2 linked regions of the Arabidopsis thaliana genome follow. The protein of the gene in region 1 interacts with the protein of each later gene in a pairwise test. Each region holds a gene or a part of one and is shown on either strand. Other genes may lie near its edges.

Region 1 (11,746 bases):
TGAAGATTTTGCCTGAATCTTGTCTAGGATTTTGAGATACCCTTCACTGTTTTGCTCAGTAACGTCTGATTCTACTGAATCCCCTTGCATTGCCATATTCTCAGAGACATAAACCCTACTTTTTAGTTAACAAAAGATGGGTCATAAAGGAAGAAACTTTTCATGAAAAAATACAAAAATGAGAATGTACAGAAAGAATAAATAATAGAAACAAAAAGTAGGAAGAGAAAATAAACCTCTCTTGAGTTTGGTCTTCGGTTGACACCAACGGTGGTTTCTGAGCCGGCGTGTCTTCTCCGGGAACTAGTAAAACTTTCGGTTTCAACATTTTTTTCGCTGTACGAACGGAGCCTTTGAGCTTATCCAGGAATTTGAAGAAAAGTTTTAAACTTTCTTGGTAAGACTCAGAAATTTTGGTAAAGAAGAATGGCTTCTTCCCATCTCTCTTATGAAACAAGAAAAAATAGAATGCTTTATTTACTGAAAATGGAGGGAGAAAGAGAAACTAGTGCTATTTTGTCTTATTACCTTATAAATACAGCTTTCCTTTTTGGCCGTTCGATTGTATTATTTTAAGCCGTTGGATTATTGTACATCAGACGTCAGCTTTCTATTAACTCTCGGACAATGGGGTTTTGTTGTAGCCCGTTGGGCGTTGGATAAAGATCATGAGATTTGTGAAAGTGAAAGGATCAGCTAAATGGGCTTCGTAGGATGATTTTTGTTAGCCCATCAAAAGGTTTATGAAAGAAAAAAAAGGAATCAATCAGCCCAATATTACAAATTACAGAACCTCATTTTCTTAAATTACTATCACTATAATTCTAAACTTTCAAGATGGCAAAACAGTAGTAGGAAAAACATTCTATAATCGATTTTATTGACGAGTGTACGGAACGGATACTAAAAATCCGCAGACGCGACTAAACGAGAGTGCAAAGCCGCCTCTTTTATTGACTCCTTGACTTTCGAGTCCACTAGGACATTCCGAGGAACATTATCTCTACTCTATATATGTCTTTTTTACTTGTTTGCATATTTTATCCGAACGTTTTTGTACGATTCAATTTCAATGTATTCTTACGGTCGTTGTCCTTGTATTTATGGATTAACAGTGCCTTTAACAATAGCCTGGGACTACCTTCAGATTGGAGTCCATCACTTGATCATATCGGTTAAGATGTAACTGGACAAATATAACTCGAGAGACAAGAAGTAATGGTCAAAACAAAACTGCTCAAATAAAAACAAAAAAGTGAAAGACAAGATACTTTATCTGGACAGCACTAAAGCCAAAACACACAATATCTTTGGTTCTGGCCCACATATTTACCAAAATACCATTTTCAGAGGACTTATTTGACTTCACATACACAAAAGAGTCACACCGACTGATCAGATCCTCTGTTCTTTTCAAACACTGATCAGATCTACATTTTCTTTTTCCATCACTTTCTCTTCATTTTCTGTAAGTTTATATATACATTTATGTATGTGTGTGTGGTTTGCATGTTCGTTTTCGTAATATGTTAACAATAATATACAACTAACCCATTTGCAAAAGTTGGATGTGACGTTTTGATTCGGTTTTTATATATTTGGATCTTTATAAATATAGTTCCAAATTTATGTACTAAAACAGGGAAAACAATGAATAATCCAAGATCGGTTAGTCCTTTGGTTTCTCCAGCAAACCACTCAGATCTATTAGAAAACCAACGTCAATCCGGTTCTGGAGATTTCTCAAGATTAGAGAAACGAATCGGAGCGAGGAAGATGAAGTTTCATTCCAAGTCTATGCCCCGAGGTGCCATGTTTCTTGATCAAGAAGCATCTAGAAACTTCCACGACAAGAGGTATGACCTATTCAGGACCATGTCCGGGAAACTCGAACGTCAGATATCGAATTTACGTGGGAAACCCACTGAGAGTTCGTTGCAGGATCATAAAGAGATTACTGAATCTTTAACCGCTGATAGATACTTTGATGCTCTTCAAGGCCCCGAGCTTGAAACTCTCAAGGTATTTTATCATTCATTTTTGCTCATATGGTTGAGTTATACTTGTGTTTGGTTACTTCTATTTATGGGTTTATTGGTGGATGACAGGAGAAGGAGAAGATAGTTCTGCCTGAGGACAAAACGTGGCCGTTTCTTCTACGGTTTCCAATCACATCATATGGGATGTGTCTTGGAGTAAGTAGTCAAGCCATCATGTGGAAGACCTTAGCAACCACAGAGGCAGAGAAGTTCTTGCACGTGACTCAAGTGATCAACCACGTGCTCTGGTGGATCTCTCTCCTTCTCCTCCTCGCCGTTTCTATCACTTACCTCTTCAAAACCATCCTCTTCTTTGAGGCGGTTCGCCGTGAGTTTCGGCATCCGATCCGAGTCAACTTCTTCTTCGCTCCTCTTATATCAATCCTCTTCTTGGCACTTGGAATCCCACACTCTATCATCTCACATCTTCCCTCTACACTTTGGTACTTCCTTATGGCTCCCATCTTGTTTCTTGAGATGAAGATTTACGGACAGTGGATGTCTGGTGGACAAAGACGCCTCTCCAAAGTCGCCAACCCTACAAACCACCTTTCCATTGTCGGTAACTTTGCAGGAGCACTTCTAGGAGCATCCATGGGGTTGAAAGAAGGACCAATATTCTTCTTTGCCATAGGGTTGGCTTATTATTTGGTTTTATTTGTGACTCTCTATCAGAGACTTCCCACGAATGAAACCTTACCTAAAGAGCTTCACCCTGTTTTCTTCCTCTTTGTGGCTGCACCAGCCGTCGCTTCCATGGCCTGGACCAAGATCTCTGCCTCTTTCGATCTCGGTTCGCGTCTAGCATACTTCATCTCCTTGTTCTTGTACTTCTCTCTGGTAGTTTTTGTTTTCATTAACAGAGTTCTAGTGAGCTAGTGCTGAGTTTCTTGTGGTACAAGAAATGTAACAGCTTTACTTCTTGTGATTCTTGTTTCAGGTTTGTCGGATTAACCTTTTCCGGGGATTCAAGTAAGCTGTTTCTTGAACTGCAAGGATCTAATTTACCAAACCAAATAACATACATGTTATCTGACATAATTATTCAAAAAATATCAGATTCTCGCTAGCTTGGTGGGCTTACACGTTTCCAATGACGGCAGTGGCCAGTGCGACGATCAAATATTCAGACGAAGTCACGGGAGTGGCAACGAAGATACTATCGGTTGTGATGTCGGGAGCAGCAACTCTGACGGTGATAGCTGTGCTTGGGTTGACGGTGATGCATGCTTTTGTCCAACGTGATCTCTTCCCCAATGACGTTGTCATTGCCATAAGTGCAGAACAACCGAAGCAGAAGAGATGGTTCAAACATCTCACAAAAGAAAGTTATGGAAATAATGAGAGATGTCCCAAGATTTTGGATCCGGAAGATAATCAAATAGATTTAGAATCTCCTCCTTTAGTAAATGTAGATAGTTCCACGGTTCAGAATTCAAATTAACAAAAAAAAAAAATGTGATGAAAATTCATGATCTTTGTTAATTAACTTCTCATGTACAACACTATAGCAGTGCTAATAATAATAAATTAGCGAAAATCTTAATTATTTTGGTAAATTTTAGTTGCATACCATTCTTTTTACTGATCATGATAAATTACTTCTTCATTTCAGCAAAAATATAAAAACTATAATCACTTTGGCTTATTCTTTCGTTAGATTTAGTTATTATAGTATTGTTTGATTCAATTCAAGTAAAAACTATTTGAGTTATAGGCAAACTTAGTCACACCAACCGCAACCTTCACAATTTGTCTTAACAAGTTAGATCATATTTCGTGGAAATAATGTCTAGCTTAACATCTAATTTGTCGAATATATCTTAATGTCACTGTTATGTTAATTCATCCTCCATCTTTATACTTTGTCACCAAAACGAATCGTCTTGTCACATATGACATATGACAGTAAAAACAATGTAATAATTTCCTACACATCACGTTTTTGAAAAAAAACATCCTTCATCAACCGCTGGTCAATCTTGAAAGCATGGTAAATTCATTCAAATTACGTCAAATGATTCGTTCTACAAAACTCTCAGCCGTCGGATCATACGACTTTTGACTAAACCACTTAAACGACGACGCTTCGACGGGATTGGAAAACATCGGCGCCACATGATGATGATACGAACAACCGCGTTATTTTATATGTGCCGTAGGTACAACGCTGAGTTAGGCCCACCCAAAAAAAAGTTTGACATTATTTAAAACGAACGAATCTGAAAGAATAAAGCAGCAGAGTCCACTAATCAAACGAACCAGAATTTACCCGCACCCTATTTATTGTGGTCGCGACCACACAACATTTTCAACTTCTTCTTCTCTTCCGTTTCACCACCCTTTCTTCTCCTAAATTCGAAGAACCAAAACCAAAAACGTGAATTCGGAGTTATGATTTTGGATCTTCTTCCCGTCTTTATATATAATTTTCTGGGTTATGTTTTTCTTCTTCTTAATTCATCTGACCATTGGATTGGTTTTCGATTGCAGAGTCTTCAATTGGAATTTGGATCGTGGGATTTTGGAAATGGCATCGAAACGGATTTTGAAGGAATTGAAGGATCTGCAGAAGGATCCTCCTACTTCATGTAGCGCAGGTACCTATTCTTTTAGTCGATTTATCAACTTTGATTCAATAATTATGTTCCTCTTGCTGGATAATGATGGGTCGTTGGTTTTGATCTTCTTTTGAGCTGGTTTTTTATGTGTGCGACGGTTTGATATTGATCTCTCGTTAGCTTAGATCTAATTATCCTTGATTTTTAGGTAATTCAGCTGCTAATAACAGAAATTTGCATACTTCATGGTAACACTTGTTTGTGATTTTTCTAGGAATGAATCATAAAGGTCAATGTTCAAACTTGTTTGCTCGTTGATAGATCTGGTTTCATTTTTTGATTTCCTTGGATGAGATCTTAGGATTATAACTCTGTTGTTCTCTTCTAATTTTGCCCCTTTTACCAACTTCTTCTTATATGCATGTTGTTGCTTTTCTGGTTTGGTATTGAAGTTTTGGTTAAATGTTGACAGGACCCGTTGCGGAAGACATGTTTCATTGGCAGGCCACTATAATGGGTCCATCGGATAGCCCTTATTCTGGAGGAGTTTTTCTTGTAACCATCCATTTCCCTCCAGATTACCCATTTAAGCCTCCTAAGGTATATTCAAATCTCTACAGCTGCTTCTTCTTCTTTGAATTTTTTTTCCAACTTTACTTCGGCCATCATTTTTCTGTTGCTAATATCTTCCATCGTTTATCTATTGTTCTTTTCTCTGTGTTCTTGATTTCATTGCTCTCTATGTATGTTGTTACAAAAAATGTAGGTGGCTTTTAGGACGAAGGTGTTCCATCCAAACATTAACAGCAATGGAAGCATCTGCCTCGACATCTTGAAGGAGCAGTGGAGTCCTGCTCTCACAATTTCCAAGGTTTTCTTTTGTTCTTCCTCATCTTTATCATATTAGAACCATAATTTTGCAGCTTTGCTCTCCAGGTGACATCAATTTTGTGTGGTGCAACAGGTGCTGCTATCGATCTGTTCTTTGTTAACGGATCCAAACCCAGATGATCCTTTGGTCCCTGAGATAGCTCACATGTACAAGACAGACAAGAACAAGTACGAGTCCACTGCTCGGACCTGGACCCAAAAGTATGCCATGGGCTGACACAAATACTGTCCTTAAGGAAGAGCCCTAATAATTAAACTCTTCTTATTTCTATGTAATGATCTTTTATAGACTTGTCTGTCTTATAAAATTTGTGAAGACAGGATCAGTAAGAAATTATTTGATCTCCATTCTATGGAATTGTAAAACGTAAATCATCATCCCGTCTGCTGTTTCTTTATTGCGTGATGCCGATGCGTCTCTGTGTTTATCAAGGCTCATATTATTTTGGATTTTATTCTGTCCAAAGCCCAAACTAGCTACAATCGTAAGCCTTTCCGTTTTCGTAAACATTATTAACTTACATACGTAACATTTTCATTTTAGTATTATGTGGGCAATGATTTATGTAAATGGTGTATGGGGCCTAAGAGTGAAGTTGTTCATGAGTTAAGATTGTGATTGTGATCCATCTGGAACAATTTAATAAAATGGGACAAAGGAATTATCACTTTGAAGTTTGACCAATTTAAGATTTACAAAAAATAGTAAAACTATTAAAATCACCTTTTCCCCAAATAATATACTCAAACGGGTTTAGCCATTAGTGCTACTAAACATTATGGTATAAAGACCTTGAAAAAACGGTTACTTTTTTATGGTATAACCCAACTATTATGACACTTTTGTGTTCAAGGTTCTGTTTCAGTGATGGAGTATAGTATATTTTAACATAATGTTTATCCCACGAATTAGATTCCTCTTCGATGGACACATGTTGTTGTTAAGGTTGGGAGCTTATGAGGTTGGCGAGGTTTAAAGCAGTAATCAGGGCTTATTATGTTGAGATTAAGGTTATGATTTTATAATTTCACGTTAGTTTGTTGACGATTTATAAAAAAAAAATGTTATGAATGCATATTTTGCTTAATGAAAGTGCTAGTGGACGCTTGATCAATTCATGTTAATCTTTAAAACTCTTTATCTTAAGATTCAAATCAAAGTTTATTTTCTTTCTCGAAACTCCAACACTTGTATTTCTATATATTTTGAGTTTTGGGTTTACCGAGGCTTCCAAGTCCATTCGAATAAGTTTTTAAATGTGTGTTTTCACTACTCGAGCACTACTACTGATAAAACTTGTAAATAAATTATACTATTAGAACCGAATGGTATACTTTTCCTTCTAAAGCATTTAAACTACCACTAGTCACTAGATGCACATGTAAACTCAGCATCATATATGGTCTTAGTGTGGGTTAGCAGTTGCATTGAATAATCTTGTCTTTTACTTCATAATAGTTCTATGTTAAATCTGTAATTGTAATAGATATGTATGCATGGTATATAGTATCATGAATAGAAATTGTTTATATAGTAAAACCTAACAGCATAACACTACATTACTGTGTTCTACACTTCTACATAAACCAATTATATTCGTATATGAATACTCATACGTACGAAATTTAATGATCTCTAAACATATTAGAAAGAACGAAAGCAGTAAAACTTTCTGTTTCCAACCAGCTAAAGCCGTTAAAACTAGAGTTATAAGTTATCTTACCATTTGTCTTTCAACTAGTTTCGACCTTTTACATGATTCAACAGATTTTCTAAAAACTATCTCACAAATTTGAGTAGTACTATTACACAAAAAGAAAAGATTCACGTCTAATCCCACTAAGAATATATCAATTACATTAACCCACCAACGGCAATGTTTCATGTACTAAAAATACGAAAATTATTGTAAGAAATCAGAATATCAGCTTTCCAGAATTAAAGGCAGACTAACACCCGTTGCAACCCAAATTAAAACCATTGTTTTTGTTAAAGTGCAACCCAAATAACCATTACACGATCTATTCGAGCATGGACCGTTCTCTATTACAGAATATAGTACTTTCTAAGAGTCACCATAAATTTTCTAATTTTTATGTCTAACGACCGAAGGGTTTACTTACTAAATATCCCTTCAATACCCCCGAAAACTTATACAATGTCACTCTGTCAGTGACTGGACTACTTTTAATCTATGTTCAAAGTCTCCATAACTTAAAAAAAAAAAGTTTATTAATTATGATAAAGAGAGAGGTCGTGCCCAAGAGAGCATGGTTAACGCCAGGTTTTTATTAAATATTTAAATTAGAACTGAAGAAAATAACTTAGTTACAGCCTGATCTTAGAGATCCCCTGTTTTGTCTTTAGTAAATTAGAGAATCGTAACCTTTGGTGGCCTCCACTAAATGGCATTAATGACCAGTCACTAATGTTAATATTGCCGTGAATCAAATCTCTTAAACAAAACCTTTTGCGTTGAATAAAACTTAAAATTACAGTGGACACTTCAGCGGTCTCAAGAGTCAAGACAAGTGGAGGTAAGAAGAGGAGTCACGATTCATGTGCCATGAGTCATGGTACTAAAAGGTTTCGGTGAAATTTTCACCGTGAAAATCAAACTCTCCGAACCAGACAATTTGTCTTGCACCAGATCCTAAACAAATTGGTTTAACTTTTAGTTTCCTTTTGGTTCATTTAACATGTTATTCCTATCAACGCTAGTAAGGTAGAGCTTAGCTCAAATGATCGATTGGGTTGGGCACTTATTTCTACAGAGTAATTTTAAAGAATATTAATGAATAAATGTTTTTACGATAATTGTTAAAAGTTTGAATTGTACATAAAAAAGTTATTTATATATGAATAAAAATAATTATAATGGAACTTCGATAAATTATTTTTAAATAGTTACATTTAGATTTCAATTTAGTGTATTTTCAATAACCAATAATAATTTAGGCTATTTTAAAAGCTATAGTTTTACTTTTACCTATACATTTACATATATATTCCTATAATGTACTACATATATTTATTATAAAATTTTGATGAATTTAATGTTCGCGAACAAATTCCAAGTATCTATGTAAGCTATTTTTATTTTTATTAGATATATGACCAACATTTCTTGCTTGTAAACTAAGGCTGTCCACGAGAATGACTTGAGTAGTACTCACGAGTCGCGCGACCATGTAGCTTCTGCTCCAAGACATACATTACCTTGGGAAAACTCGAAACTCACACGTTAATTTATATTATCATAAACTTGGTTATGAGAAGTAATTACTCAAGCGGTGACCTTCTCTAGTCTTTATTTGTCCATCAAAGTTCGAGCTCATTTTTAATTTAAAGCTATGCACCAAGACCAACGTACATCACATTATTATATAAGTAACTAATGGTGATAAAGCTTTCAACGTTTTGCTATTTTGAGGGGTGGCCCTTCTTTTAAGAATGGATCTTTGTCCTTAAATTTATTTTTTACCAACAAGTCTCGTTTCTTTCTTCTATTTGGATTCTTCGTTCATAACCGTAGATGGACACGTTATATATGCACACATGACACATTGTATTAGCTTTCAACAAAATCTGTAACGCAATCTTCTTTTTATTGTCACATGTCACCGATTAATGGTGAATGGCAACAAAAAGATGTTAATATCAAAAAGTTATAAATATTGGGTTGGGTATTGTTACTTCAACCCAGTCGTTATTAAAAGTCATTGGTGAGAAGTTGTTATCGCTCCAAAAAAGAAAGTGGTCAACCCAAGTCTAAAACAAGATTCACAGTTTGTCTAAATTTCAATGTAGTCACTTAATTGTCGTTTTTAGTAACACACATGTACGTATTATAATATGGTTCGTATAGTAATAGACGCATATATAAAATATACGTGGATTGGTCACTTGGCTCAATGTAGGACAGTGGCCAAGAACACTGCACTAAACCTCGGGGTTTGTCTTTTGTCAATCCAAAGGATTCTCCATGTCTCTCTCTTCTTCCCACTTTGGATATTCAGAATCAAATCGTCCTTGGCTTCTCTCACACGACCTTTCTTAACCGATCTTCCTCTCTCTCTGCTTCTAGTTAGCACTATTCTGATGCTCGTCCGACTAACCTGACAAAAAAAAATCTCGTGTTTTTTTTTTTGGTTTCATAATGACTTGTAATTTTCAACTGATTTTTTCAACCCTAAACTAAATCAGAACTCGGTTAGAGATGAATTTTTGTAAGTTCAAGTTTTTGAATTTTCATATTTTCAAAAATGAAAGCTCTGAAACGAAAAAAAAAAAAAATTAGCGCCAAATCCTAGGTTGCCCGCCACGTTACTTATCTCACTGGAAATGAGAGGATTTTACTGAATAATTTGTAACAGTTTTTCCTTAAAATAGAATCATATAATAACAGAAACAAATATATTTTCTTACTGGAAAATAAAGATTGATTCCCTTTTTACATTGGTCGGAATTTACTCATTTGGAACATAAATATAGCATTTACTCAAATAGTATATTTACTGTTGAATAAGCACTTTAGGAAAACACATCACGTGACAGGTTGTTCATAAGAAATGAATGCATGGGACGAAACAGCTAAACGAATTCGCTACAGATGTCGGTCAAACCTGGGTGAAGTCATCATATTTTTTTAAAAAATATTTTAATCTTCAATAATATAAAAAACATATTTGTCTGTAACTAAAACATTTTCAAAAACAAAAACAAAATAGTAGATATCTTTTCAAAAAATGAAAGCAGTTAAAATAAAACTGGGACCGGGTATCTTGGGGTCACGTGATATGCATCGTAGATTTCGAGATTAGAAGCCACGCGCTGCTGACTCAGCAGAAAGATAGTCATCTCAAAGAAGAAAAATATCTCATTTGTACAGGTGTCATCATGCGATTTGCTTATATGAATGCGGCGTCCCGTTTAGTAATTCACTCCTCTCTGTATCAAAATTTGTGGCTAATATATCACTGCGAATTGACGAATTGAGAATGTTTAAAAACCAAAAAAAAAAAAAAAAGTAGATAACTTAACAATTTTTAAAATATATAGTTTCTACTTATCGTTATCAATAATGACTACCAAAATATCATGTAAATTTTTACTTTTTATATGTTTCACAAATAATATAGTTTTTACAAAGACTTTTTTGTTGTTTTACATTTTTTATTGTCACTTTAAAATGTGTTAGGCGGTGTAAAAATGTAAAACTGATACAGTATATTTATGTGACACGGTAAAAGAGGATATTTCAAAAGTGAAAAAATGGAAATAAGTAAATAAAAGCAAAGAATATAAAAATATTTTATTCTATTTATTACTTTATATATACCAAATATGGCTAAAGCCCGAAAGATCCTATAAAGTAGGATTTAACAGTGACTTCTGAATCTTCTCACTTTAAACTTAACAGTCTCTCTTTCTCTTTCATTTTATATACCCTTTTCCTCTCTTTCTCCAAATCTCTGAAAATTTTCACCAGAATCTCTGTTCTTTTTTTCACCAGAATCTCTCTGTTTAAAATAATAGGTGATGATGATGGATGAGTTTATGGATCTTAGACCAGTGAAGTACACAGAGCACAAGACTGTTATCAGAAAGTACACTAAAAAGTCGTCTATGGAGAGGAAGACCAGTGTTCGTGACTCGGCCAGGTTGGTTCGGGTCTCAATGACGGATCGTGACGCCACTGATTCATCAAGCGACGAGGAAGAGTTTCTGTTCCCTCGAAGACGTGTCAAGAGATTGATTAACGAGATCAGAGTCGAGCCTAGCAGCTCTTCCACCGGCGACGTCTCTGCTTCTCCGACGAAGGACCGGAAAAGAATCAACGTTGATTCTACGGTTCAAAAGCCCTCTGTTTCCGGCCAAAACCAGAAGAAGTACCGCGGCGTGAGACAGCGACCATGGGGAAAATGGGCGGCGGAGATTCGTGATCCTGAGCAACGCCGGAGAATCTGGCTCGGTACTTTTGCAACGGCGGAGGAAGCTGCCATCGTCTACGACAACGCAGCAATCAAACTTCGTGGCCCTGATGCTCTTACCAACTTCACCGTACAACCAGAACCAGAACCGGTACAAGAACAAGAACAAGAACCGGAGAGCAACATGTCGGTTTCGATATCAGAATCAATGGACGATTCTCAACATCTATCATCTCCGACATCGGTTCTCAACTACCAAACATATGTCTCGGAGGAACCAATCGATAGTCTTATCAAACCGGTTAAACAAGAGTTTCTTGA
Region 2 (12,360 bases), 1.1 Mb from region 1:
AAATTTAAGGCAAGCAAAACTTAGTAAAGACAAATTGTAGCAATATAGCTACTTGTAGACTAAAATTTCTCTGTCTTTTATTGTGTGATTGTTTAGAAAAAGGAAAAGCAGAAAGCAGGGCAGAGCCGGAAAGAATCGGAGATAAGTGCAAGAGTACGGACATAGTGGTGAACCAAGCAGTGACGATACCAATGCCTAATGGAATACCATGTTATATTGTAGTATGTCTGGATGCATAATTTCGAGGATACATATCAACTGCGGTTGGTTCAGCTCGGCTAAGTGGATAAACCCAAGACTCTTCAAACGTATTTACTACGAAGACTGTCTCGTCAACAACAGCAAGCCTAAATTTGCCTTTTGGCTCCACTCTCTCTTTTCACTACCGCAACACTTTCCCTTACCAATCTATCTGCGGCCTTCGTGACCTGTTCTTAGGTGGTGGCTTTTTCTCTTGTTTTTTTTTATAGGATGAGATAGTCGAAACAGAGGGAACTTAAGAGGCCTTATTAGATACAGAAATATGAGATTAGTCATATTCATATACCATACCATCCACTTTTGTTTTTTGGTTCTCTTGGGATGTGAAACAGTGATAGATAAATGAATATATCAAAACTCTTTTTTCCCTCTCTATTAAGCTTTTCTCAAGACCTATTATTGTAACTGGAAATGGTCAAAACCCTCAGTCTCAGATCCTAGAACTAGCTTATTGGGTCAAGTTGATTGAGCCCTTAAAACCACTAAGAGAAATAACCTCGGAAGCAATCTTTGAATTTGAACATGGTCAGACTCAAGACACCATACCATCCTGTCATTTGTTCTCTAGGATGGGAAACTTTATGGATAAATGAATATATCAACCTATATTCCCCTCTATAAGCTCATCTCAATACTTATAGATATAGTAGCTGGACAATGTCAAAACCTCAGACCCCAGAACAAGCCTATCCAGAATATAACAGACCAATGAATGAGATGTTGAATATTCACTGATGGGGATAAATAAGAATCCAATGAAATCAAGAGATTGGGATGCGTAGTTTTTACACCATAAAGTAGAATTTCTCAATTAAATCCAAATCACAAACACCAAATTGAATTGTCATTCATAAAACGAGAATCTAAATCTCATGTGGTAGAGCTTAGAAGTAGAAACAGCTCTATCAACACACAGAGAGAATTGAAGAAGAAGATACAAACTTGGATACTTTTCTGGTTATTCCTCTACAAATGGTCTTCCATCTCTAACAATCTTCATCTCTTTCTAGCCAATCACTAATTGCCAACTCACAATTCACACCTCTACCAATCATAGTCTCACAAACTTCCAAGTCACTCTTTTCCTATATCATACCTCAGTTGCCTCAGGCTCTGGAGGTGGAGGTGGCGGCGGCGGCGTGGTTTGTTCTCCCATTTTTCCCCAAAGAACAAAAGAGATGCCAATGATAATCACGAAAGCTCCAATTATCCTGATTCAGCAAAGAAAGATGAGTTGAGAAGAGGACTACTAAGAGATACCAAGGATGTTAGGAAAGCACCAATGCTCACCTCCCGACAAACATCTGCTCAGAGAGTACAACCGAGCTAATGACCGCCGTGGCAATCAGATTGATTGGATTGAAGATACTCACCCTTCTTCTGTGCCATCCACCCAACAACGTAAACCGTTGTTGCTGAGAAACATCCCTGTACAGTGGAGAATGAGTTTCAATACAAATTGTATGACAACCAAATGACTTCTTGATTCAATTCAACTTACCCCAGAGACGCTAACACTGTCACATTTGGATGAAGTTTCAAGGCTTTAAGTTTATTTCTCTCCCATATTAGTGCGGTGACCGTTGATCCAACGCCCCGATGATGCAGATGAGAGCCGTCAGGGACAGTTTTGCCGGGTACGACACTACTACCTTGGCCTGCAAGAAACATCATATAGATTAAAAGGCCAGCCAACTTAGTAAATTTCTGTAAAGAAACATTGTGACCTTTGGGCTTTTTACCTGAAGAATAACATAGAAGCTCCAACTCAAGCAGCTGCACACTAGCATAAGCCCTCCTCTTAGGATGTCCTCATCATGTCTGTGGATCTTCTTTGCGTGCAGCAAGCTGTTCCATGGCAATGGAATCACCTGGCCTCTCCAAAATGTCATCAGCATTGCTCCAGCAACCGCCACACACGTTCCAAGAACTTTTGCTTTTCCTCGATGACTGTGAATAGCCACTTTCTCCAACCTTGCAAAAGGGTACGAGACATTACATGTTGGAACTAAAGTCAAAACACACATACTGATTTGATTATTACTCATACAGAACTAAATGTTTGAAAGAAAATAGAAGGCTACCTGAATATACAGGCCATCACAAATGTAATGGCCGGGAGTAGGTTGAACATTCCGGAAGTGAAAGTGGGCGTTGTGAGCTGCATGCCTGTATAGTACAAGTTTTGCTCCAATAGTGGCCTGTAAGAAAACATTTGATTAAACCTCTAATATATTGATGAATGTGATGATTCATACAAACTATAAGTAACTTACTCGAAAATGCTCATGATAACTATCTGAGCAAAGATTCTTTTAGTCAGGTCTTGTATTCCTATAGATTTGAGATTATTATTAGCACCAGAAACAAAACAAAACAACAAAAAAAACAGAGAAAACATACAATAAGTTATGGTTGGTACCTCTCAAATACTAAAGCAAGGGGTGATAGAATTGAAAATGCAATAACCAGACGCGCAGCAACAAAGATTCTCGGAGAAAGCCCGTAATCTAGAGCATACTTTGCAATGACCGACATTATGGATAAACCAATCTGAATTGAAACAGCCGCAACTACTGGTAGGATGTTATGATCATGGCTTCTTCTTCTTCTACGTCTTTTTTTTTTGGTTAAATTATATTCAAAAAAAAAAAAAAAAACGTTTTAGATCCGTTTTTCTTAAGTTTTTAGTAGAAATTACTTAAAAACCATTGCCTAGGAAAATAAAAATAGAACACAAAGCTTTTACCTGAGGAACTGAGTACTGAAAGCAGCTTAGTCTCGTGAAGCAAACCAGCCTTTGTCGACTGTCGTAGCGTCTGTCCTCGGTTGATTGAATTGTCCAGATCTGATTACGAATATATTTATCTATCCATCGGATGAGGTTGGTTGCAATTCCTGGTTGCACTTCTTCTTCGTCTTTTTCTTCTTCTTCTTTAAAAATAAAATAAAATTTAAAAGTGTGGTCTCAGTGGTGTTCGTCAATGGAGGAGGAGGTGCAGGAAGAAAATATTCTAAAGAAAATGCTTCCAGCTCGTTTTTACTTTAATGCTATTATAGTGTGTGGTTTTTACGCTTGTTTATCTCCAAGCTCCTTGTTTTGGTAATATGACATTAACGTCATTATGACTCTTTAACTACCAACTCATACAGTATAAATACCGTAGTTAGCTACTTATACATGTCGTATACGCTTATACTACTCAGATTGACCGGACGATTCGTCACCGGCTTTCGTGTCTAGGGTTTACCGACAGCTCTCTTTTTCCATTGGGCCCTATCATAATTTATCCATCAACAGCCCAATCTTTTTAGCGCCACGCATAAAGCTTGGCTCCCTTTTTTGGTTTTTTTTCTCCTCGTTTTAAATGTTAAAACTAGGTTGTTTTACTTGTGTTTTGATATTTTTAACTATTGTTTGTAGTACATGTGTTTGATTCAATTTAGTTTCATATTGCCATCTTTCTGCAATTCTTTTTTTTTTTAATGTAGATAAGTACATACCATTGTTATGACTTTTTTTAGTTTATGTTGGTATTTATAAGTAGCTAGGTTATGACTTGTGTCATATATCATGTGTTATTACATCATGCCTCTGTTCGAGACTACGTCGCCTTCATCCATCACTACTCTTCCTGTCTGTCTGATCGGAACCGCAACTCCATCCTCTTACCTTTTCCCAACCTAAAACAAAAAGAGATGAATTTTCTGTTCGAAGTGATGTTCAGAGTTCATGAATTCATTAATTACATTTACGGGCCAGCCAGAATTTGGCCATTTCGCAAATTCACCTATACTAAAACGGTGTGAAAGGAAGAACGAAAAATACAAAGGCACAATCTTTTTTAAAAATAGATAGATATATAATTATCTTCATCACACGTAACGTAATGGACCTAGTAACCTATACAGCTTCCATACATTGGGAAAGTAAGAAGAAAAAACAAATAAGGGACAAAGAGTTACTTGAAAAGAATTTATAGTTCATTTTCTACACATTCAAAGATGATAAATAACTCCACAGCTTAAAGGGAAGCTTTACTTTACTTTTAGCTTTCTTTTTTTGATTTTGTTTTCTTCTGTACCGGAAGAATTGAAACGATGTGTATGATAGATACATTGGTCTTCCTCCCTTCACAAAATGGTGCATGTGCAGATTACTGCCTTTGGTGCTTTATCAACCTTCTTCTCTGTTTAATCAAAAACCAGTATTCAACTGTTAGTTAGCTTTCATCAACAAACGTCTTAGTAATCACAAACTCACTTTCCACGACTTTCTCAAGTTTGTGAAAAAACAAATTATGCAGACAAATCTCAAAGACTGGCAAAAGTTTTCAGTGGGGTTTACAAGGAGATGACGACCAATAATGAATTCAGGTATTCCTTTCCTCATGGCATGCTTTGCTAAGCTTAGAGCTGATTTTTGCTTTATTTCACACAAAGAACACACCAGAAACCTAGGAATGAATTCTAGGGTATCCTTTACTCTCTCTCAAGACAAACAAACCAAATTTAGACAAAACCACTAATCACCTGATAGGTTGATTGAGTCAGTACCATAGGCTGTTAGAAAGAAAAAGAATGTACTGATCTTAGTCACCGACTAACTTTCTGATGTGCATGAACACTCTTACGAAATCTTACCAGCCTCAATTAATATAAGTATGACTAGAGCTAGATATTATAAGACGTAAAGTTGAGCCAGATAAATGAATACCATAATCCATACAGTTGACAAGATAAATACCACAAGACTAATGAAAGATTGAGGAACCTCTAAGGACACATATATCTCCATGAAACGGGAATTCTCTGATATAAAAGACATGAAGAACATTACACATAGACAAACAACTACCTGTTTTGGATTTAGCTAGAGAAGGCTGTACAACAACATGCATCACAATGACTCCACCAGCAATATCTCCAAATGGTGTCTTACACTGCCCAACAGTCTTGTTGTTCTCCAAGATCTTACCCGAGCTTATCAGCTTCACTTCGTTTATCCCCTTTGGAACAACTGTTTTGCCTAACCAAAACCACAAAAAAATTGATGCTTGGATCAACCTCAAATCACAGAGACTTGGCTTTTCTCATACATCAAGCTTATAACATCTCAAATGAGCTAATAATAATTCATCTACAGCTCTAAATTTCGAATTTCTACCGACAATTGCAGGATTCAGTGACAATCAACACGAAATTCGTGGGAAGATCATGAATAAAACCAGGATCAGATTGGGGAAAAAGGGGCACCGATTCAAAAAACCTTAAAACTAACCTTTGGGCCAATCAGAGACGACCCTCTGCTTCAAAAAGTCAACAGTAGAAGCCGCAGAATACCGAAAAGGCCCGATATCGGAGCCATCGTACAACCTGAATTTGATATCTATCGATTCTTCCTCCGGCATATCCGTTGACTTCTCTCTGACCTCCGATTACCAACCAAATTCCAGCTCCGATCACCAATCCCGCTTCTCAAACACAACTATTTCAGATCTGAAAATAGGTCTGAAAAAAAGTAGACAGGAACGAGAATCAGAGCTCGCTTCGAAACGGGATAGAACAAAAAAACAAAAAACAAAAAAGAGGAAGAATCAAACACACAGAATCGAAGCTTCCTCCGAAATCGTGTTTCGGATCTTTGATTTTGAGGTGTGAAAAAAGCGAAAGAAGGAAGAAGAAAGAGCTTGCTTTTTTCAAGAGTCACCAAATATCAAAGTTCCTTCTCAAGCCGACGGTTTTCACTTTTTTCCTTCCTTTTTTTTTTCCCCTTTCTTTTCGTCGTCACTTCTACTTCTTCTCAAGCCGACGTCTTCAACTTTTATTGTCCTAGCCAAAAACGCTGTCGTTTTATTCGAATTTACCTGTCTAACTGTTCCCACTTCCCACCATACTTTTTTTTTCTTCTTCTACAATAATATAATTCGTTCTGATTTTGGCAGTATTGTGTGGTTAAGACATCATAATTCTGATTTTAGTAGGGCTCCAAATCTTATACGAGTCGGCCAATATATAATATATTAGTTGTATGCAACAAAACAAAACGATGGAAACTTTCCAATACTTATTTCTACAAGTTGACACTTCTTCACTTGAACTCTTTTCTTTCACTGGAGTTGTATCCTTTAACACCACTAGTGCTCTTTTTATTTAGGTATTCTTTATCATTTTATATTTCATTATACATATCTTTAGATACTGCCAAAATGTTTTATTAAAAAGGAAGAAGATACATTCGATTACTTTTCTTATGATTCGAGTTATGCGTTACTTCTTCTCCCAGACAGCAAAGTCAAGGCCTGAATAAGCTAAAGCAAAATTAGAAGGAACAAGTGTTCCCACATCTTGCTTTGGTCCAATCTTCATGATAACTTTATCATCAATCATAGCCAAGTAGAGATCCGCCTCTGCCGCTTTTATCGTTACAGAGCTTGTGCTACCAATCCCATTTTTGTTCCTGATAGCCACCAGCTTTGAGATGCTCTCTTTTAGTCCCCATTCTATGTAATGATTATAAAACTGCAACAAAAATAACATATCAACAAGATTGTAGTTGTAAATAGTATAGCTACATACTAAAATGATACTTACAATGCAAGGAGTTCCTGGATGAGTAAGTATATAAACGTATCCAAGCAAGACTTTATCAGAAGGGAAAACCCACGTTCTGAATGTATCATGGTTATCTATGAATGTGACAGCGTTTCCGGGCATGATTCCTATCATACCAGGCGGTTTTCCCTGCGAGTCCTTTAGTCTCCAAAGCTCACCTTTGACAGCAGACTGTAAGATCCCTTTGGTGGTGAAATCAAAAGCTGTCAACACACCACCACCCGCTTCCTCGATCCACTGTTTGAGACCCGACCGATGCTCGTTCTGATCATAGTCTAGTTTCCCGTCTCCTCCGTACTTCATATCGTCCCATTTCTCACCCACCGCAAAATCCGGTGATGTATTCTGTGTATCCAAAAACAGAGGAATTTATCACATAATCAGTAGTGAACTTTCTTATATATTTCTTATTGATTGCATTGACTTATGTTTCTTATATACTAAATAGTAGTAAATAACCCTATCAACCTATGATACTTATATATACTAATAGTAAATAATTATCTCAACCTATGTTTCTTATATACTAATACTGTTGTCTGATATTTGAGAATTCATATGTGATTTACCTGAACGTATAATTTGGTGATGGAAGATGCATAACCTCGAACATAATCAAATCTCCAACCATGGAATCCGATTTCAGTTTTAAGCCAATTCATCCATTCGGACAACTCTTTCTGAACTCTAGGGTTAAGGTGGTCGATGTCGGGCGCTCCATCAAAATCTCCTCCGGTGTCGAGGTTTCCGGTACCGGGAAATTTAGGGTCATTGCGGCAGACAAAGGAAGGATCCCAATCAAGACGATCATCGGAAGTCCCACCTTCGAAATAACAGTATCCACATTTATCGTCTTTCCTCTCAGCTGTTCTGTGGTTAATCACTATATCAGCCAAAGCTTTTATTCCTTTTTGATTCAACGCTTTGATTAACGATTTCAGTTCCGCCTCTGAACCGTATTTGGAGCTGTTTAGATCGTATAGCTTTCCCGGTAAGTAACCTGAGGAATGAAGATTGCGTGAGTAACAAGATTGGTATGTGAATGTGTAAAGAGTAAAGCAGAAATGGAACCTTCAGGAGCAACGGATTGAGAAGGAGGAGGAAGCCAAAGATGAGTGATTCCAGCGTTGGCTATGTCGTCAATGGAGTTGTGGAGAGAATTGTAGAATCCTCCTTCTTTCTTCCATGACTCCCAATTGAAACTCTGTTTCACAATTGAAAGAAACCCAATAAGTGAGTGTGTAGAGTCTGTGTATGTAAAGAAGCAAAACTAAAGACGAACCTGAAACAATAAGGTGGAGGAAAACGTGAAGGTTGGAAAGACGATGAAGAAAAGAAGAGAAGAGAAGAGTAACGTATGGAGAGATGTCATTGTCTGATTGTGAATGGTTTGCTTCTTCTATCTGCTTTGTGTGTTTATATTGAGACCCTAAACCTTGTAGAGTTACGTAACCTAAACGACACGGCCTTGTCATATCTGATATATTTCTTCATCAGTCTATTTTTCTTGGGAATGAAATGTGAATACATTTACAAGGAGTTATGGCAAAAAATCTACTCTGTCTGATCCTAGCTCTAAAATGAGTCAAGTATGGTCTCCCTTTAGACCTCCATTTGTCACGTTTTGAGTGGACAATAGGTTGAGAATATTCTAGGGGAAAAAATGATATTTGGAGCTAATATATGTTGTTTGGGCTGTTAAAAAAAGTGATTGGGCCGTAACATTAACTTTTCCTAGAGGAATCATAAAACGAAGAGGCTAGAGTACTTGTTATTTATTAGACGTTAGGGTAAAATAGAATTGAGAAGTACTAGGTAACTCAATTCTGGTAGTCCAGATGAATTCTGAAGTATTGTCTACATGTGATGTACACCATAATGATTTTTTTTTAAAACATCTGACCTGTGAATGATCATGTTTATCTAACTTACTTTGAATTTTCATTTCCTTTTTAATTAGCCGGACTAATAAACTTTTAAGTATTACTGAGAACAGAGGCATCAAAAACTATTTTACAAAATTCTAAACGACGCACATAAATTTTTGAAGGATAGTACAATTTCGAGATATTTCGAAAGAAGATGATGAGAAAATAAAAGACAAATTAGGAAACCAGACTCAACAGTTCAACATTAAAGTCAATCACTAATTCATAATTGAAAACTAAATCTTGACTTAGTTTGGCATTTTCTTGTCCATCTGGTCCTCTAAGTCACCACCATGAGTTTTAATAGGATGACTCACGTCAGGATTAGTCTGCGGCTGAACCGTAAGATCACCAGAAGCCGGAGTAGATGAAAGCTTGACCATGTTGATGGAATGATCCGACACCGTTTTGGGCTTCTCTGTCTCATCAACCACTAGTGGAGTTTTGTAGTACTTGAATATGACGTATAGAATCATTTGGACTGCTCCGAGAAACGCACCCAATATATTTGGAAGCTTCAAATCATAAAAAAGTAATCACATCATCAGTAACAATCCCACTAATCATTTTTTGATAGGGAACAGTAATCCTATTAATCGCCGACAACCTAAAAAACTTTATATAATTGTACTCTCGGTTTCTTTTACGTGATCATATAATATATGATTGTAAGCATAAAGCAAAAGTAGCGTACGGCTCAAATCATTCATTCGTCGTCTTTAAATAGATGGAATTTGGGCAAAGAGACAAAAGGTGGTGGAAACTCTTTTGCCTTTAACATAAACCACACATAATAATATATGATACTATGTTTGAGCTGTCCATTTTCATATACTAAAGAAAAAGATTCACATATAATATAAGAAAAAAAGAGAGACTCACCGCAACGTAGAAGTCTTTAATAGCAAGACCGTAGAAGAGCCACGTAATGGCGCTGATTGTAAGAAACAATGATAGAGAGAAAGGCATAAACTCCACACTCTTTGTTCGTATCACCACTCTCTGCGTCATCATTTTATACAATTTCACATGTTAGAGAACTATATAATATACGTAAACATAAAGAGATGCTATTACCGGAAAAGGAAAGACAAATATTAGTTTCTTTGATTTTAGAGTATATTATATTCTCTATATGAATTAGCATGGCTCTTTTTAGATAGACAAACATTTCTTTTTTCTGAGTGCGTGTGATACATGTCACATAAGTATGTACGTACCATGATGCTCAAAGGAGCTGCGAAAACACAAACAGAAAATCCGACGCAAATCCCTCCAAGGACTTTCTCACGGTTCGATCCTTTGGTTAGGAGCTCGCAGACGAGAATAATAGCAGCAAAACCCAAGAAATTCAAGAGCCCAAGAACCTTCAAAGTTGATATCTACATGGTTTATCATCATCAGCTAAACCTGTATGTATGAGTGCATGTTTTAATATACCAAAAGAAATGGGATGGTTTAAACGTACTCTAGCTTTCTTGTTAGCATAGGTGATGAAGAGGATGATGTAGATGGTTTCGATGAAGCATCCCACAGCGTTTATGGTAATGAGAAGGAAGCCTGCTCCATCTTTTTGCAGAGCATAGTAAATCCATAGCATCGCGCTAAAGAGGGCTGACACGTAGGGAAGTGATTCAAAACCTTCTATCGATTTTTTCTTGCAGATTCTTACAAAAGTTGGCCTGAAAATAATGTCCAAAACATTTTTCTTTGTTAAGAGAAAGCAAATAAAAATAGAAGTGTACGTTTGAGATCGATGATGCTTACACTGGTGCCAAGAAAACGATGAACGATATGATGTTACCTACAAAAATACATATAGGTAAAGATAACAAAGTTAAATTTGATATGCACTTATAAGAACAATGATATAGTATATAGTTTTGTATAACTTGATGTTTATTTATGAATGCTTGAAACTTACCCAGGACTCCAAATGTAACTGCCAATACGTTGTGAGTGAGAACCATTTTGGTTATTTTGTGAATGAGCGAGCTCTTCAGTATCTTTCTACTTTTGAATGGGAGTGTCGGAGAAAACTAATAAGGAAACAAGAGAAGGGAAAATATATAGAGATCTTCGACTCTTGATTCCTCTATTTGAGTTTTCTTCGATATGAATTAACTAGCGAGGCCAATGGTTCACTATATATAGAGACATGGTAATATGTGTAATGGTTCCATGCTTATATGCTAGGGACGTCGTCGTTTCGTGGTAAAAGAGAGAGAAGAACATCGCAGATTGACGGTCTCAGATATTTCTATGGTTTTTAAAAATGGAAAATATTCGATAATTTTATGTGGTATGCACTCTTGGCGTGTATTATTTTGGTGTCAAACTTTTATGCCAAACCTTGGTTTATATTATTATCGTAGTCATTTAAGTGACCTTTCTTTTTCCTTTAAACCAAATAAAAATAAATGAGCTTTTAATATAGGCGTTACTAAACTGCAAAGAAACCCTTAAAACTTATTGGTAATTTGTTCCTTTGGCATGACCAATAATATAATTAAACCATTGATCGGCTGATAGCTTTCTAGCTAACCATCCAAATAAATAATATATTTAATTTTGATGGTTTTCATCATTGTATTAAAAAACGTAATCTAATTTTCCAATATTCTACCAGGACTCAAACTAGCTAATTAATTAGTTTAGATATTTGTTCTCCGTACACATGTAAGATATAACTACATCTTTTTGTTGCCATCATATAACTACGCGCGTTATGTAAACTATCCAAGCTTGCATTGTAAAATATATATACTATAAACACGTTTCAACGTTTTCTACTATTGATAATAACTAAGAAAAAAAAATTATTAAACACAACATAAGAATATTTTATAAAAATGCATCTCATTTTAAAAATAAAAATTCAATTCATGTATCACTTAAATTTAATACACTCCTGGAGCAAAAATATTGATTGCAAAAGTTCTAGTTCCCATTCCATCTCCAACCCGAATCGTTACATACCGAATTAAGTTCCATTAACCATGCGTGTTTGCTCGTTTTGTTCATCATACCAGTAAAAATGAACGTTTAGGTGTCCGCCACGTGTGACATATTTTATGTTGTCTCCGAGCACTCTTGAACTTCATGATTAGGCAGCCAAAATTAGGTCCGTAACTAATTTTATTTTATTAGCTCTCATAACAACAAATAATATCTTGTCCCTGTGATAATGTATATAAACGCGTCGAGAAGAAAGCAAACAATATAAATTGTATAAAACAAAGAATAGTGCGTTTCATCTTAGACGCGACTGTCGCGTGTGTAAACCGTATAGGGTAAGATTCACCATCATGCTTCTTGATGCTCCACTTGACTACTTTCATGTTAATCTTATTATCTACACAAATATTATCGTATCCAACACCAATCTTCAACTAATTTTAAAAAATCATGCTTTATATTTCTATAATAATATAATTTTATAACCGAACCAAAATTTTAACAAAAATTAGTAATATGCAACTAGTTAAGCTTTTGGAATTAATTATACTATGATATGTCTAGGTTGTAATTAAGCTTTAATTTTACCGTAATACAA

Evidence for each region.
Region 2: the proteins of UBC9 (region 1) and ATGP4 interact in a two-hybrid assay, tested with the Arabidopsis thaliana proteins (one study listed by BioGRID).

What each region holds. Positions count from the first base shown.
Region 1 is NC_003075.7:13,910,027-13,921,772, reverse strand, and holds UBC9 (ubiquitin conjugating enzyme 9), read left to right. Parts: upstream 1-4,272; 5' UTR 4,273-4,479; coding exon 4,480-4,639; intron 4,640-5,072; coding exon 5,073-5,200; intron 5,201-5,366; coding exon 5,367-5,471; intron 5,472-5,564; coding exon 5,565-5,708; 3' UTR 5,709-6,242; downstream 6,243-11,746. Other genes in the region: AT4G27980 (trichohyalin-like protein (DUF3444)), read right to left, coding at 1-118, 237-328; SLAH2 (SLAC1 homologue 2), read left to right, coding at 1,651-2,022, 2,109-2,879, 2,980-3,011, 3,099-3,483; CRF4 (cytokinin response factor 4), read left to right, coding at 11,034-11,746. UniProt on the Arabidopsis thaliana protein: Accepts the ubiquitin-like protein SUMO/SMT3 from the E1 complex and catalyzes its covalent attachment to other proteins. Mediates the selective degradation of short-lived and abnormal proteins.
Region 2 is NC_003075.7:12,845,578-12,857,937, forward strand, and holds ATGP4 (Ubiquitin family protein), read right to left. Parts: upstream 6,234-12,360; 5' UTR 5,869-6,233; exon of another isoform or gene 5,773-5,868; 5' UTR 5,673-5,772; coding exon 5,543-5,672; intron 5,291-5,542; coding exon 5,120-5,290; intron 4,452-5,119; coding exon 4,396-4,451; 3' UTR 4,074-4,395; downstream 1-4,073. Other genes in the region: UMAMIT16-psi (nodulin MtN21 /EamA-like transporter family protein), read right to left, coding at 1,220-1,267, 1,358-1,472, 1,552-1,689, 1,775-1,821, 2,004-2,235, 2,346-2,462, 2,684-2,799; AMY1 (alpha-amylase-like protein), read right to left, coding at 6,532-6,783, 6,856-7,221, 7,446-7,876, 7,948-8,080, 8,159-8,248; SWEET14 (Nodulin MtN3 family protein), read right to left, coding at 9,053-9,319, 9,687-9,806, 10,025-10,186, 10,273-10,486, 10,572-10,608, 10,729-10,774. UniProt on the Arabidopsis thaliana protein: May serve as docking site to facilitate the association of other proteins to the plasma membrane.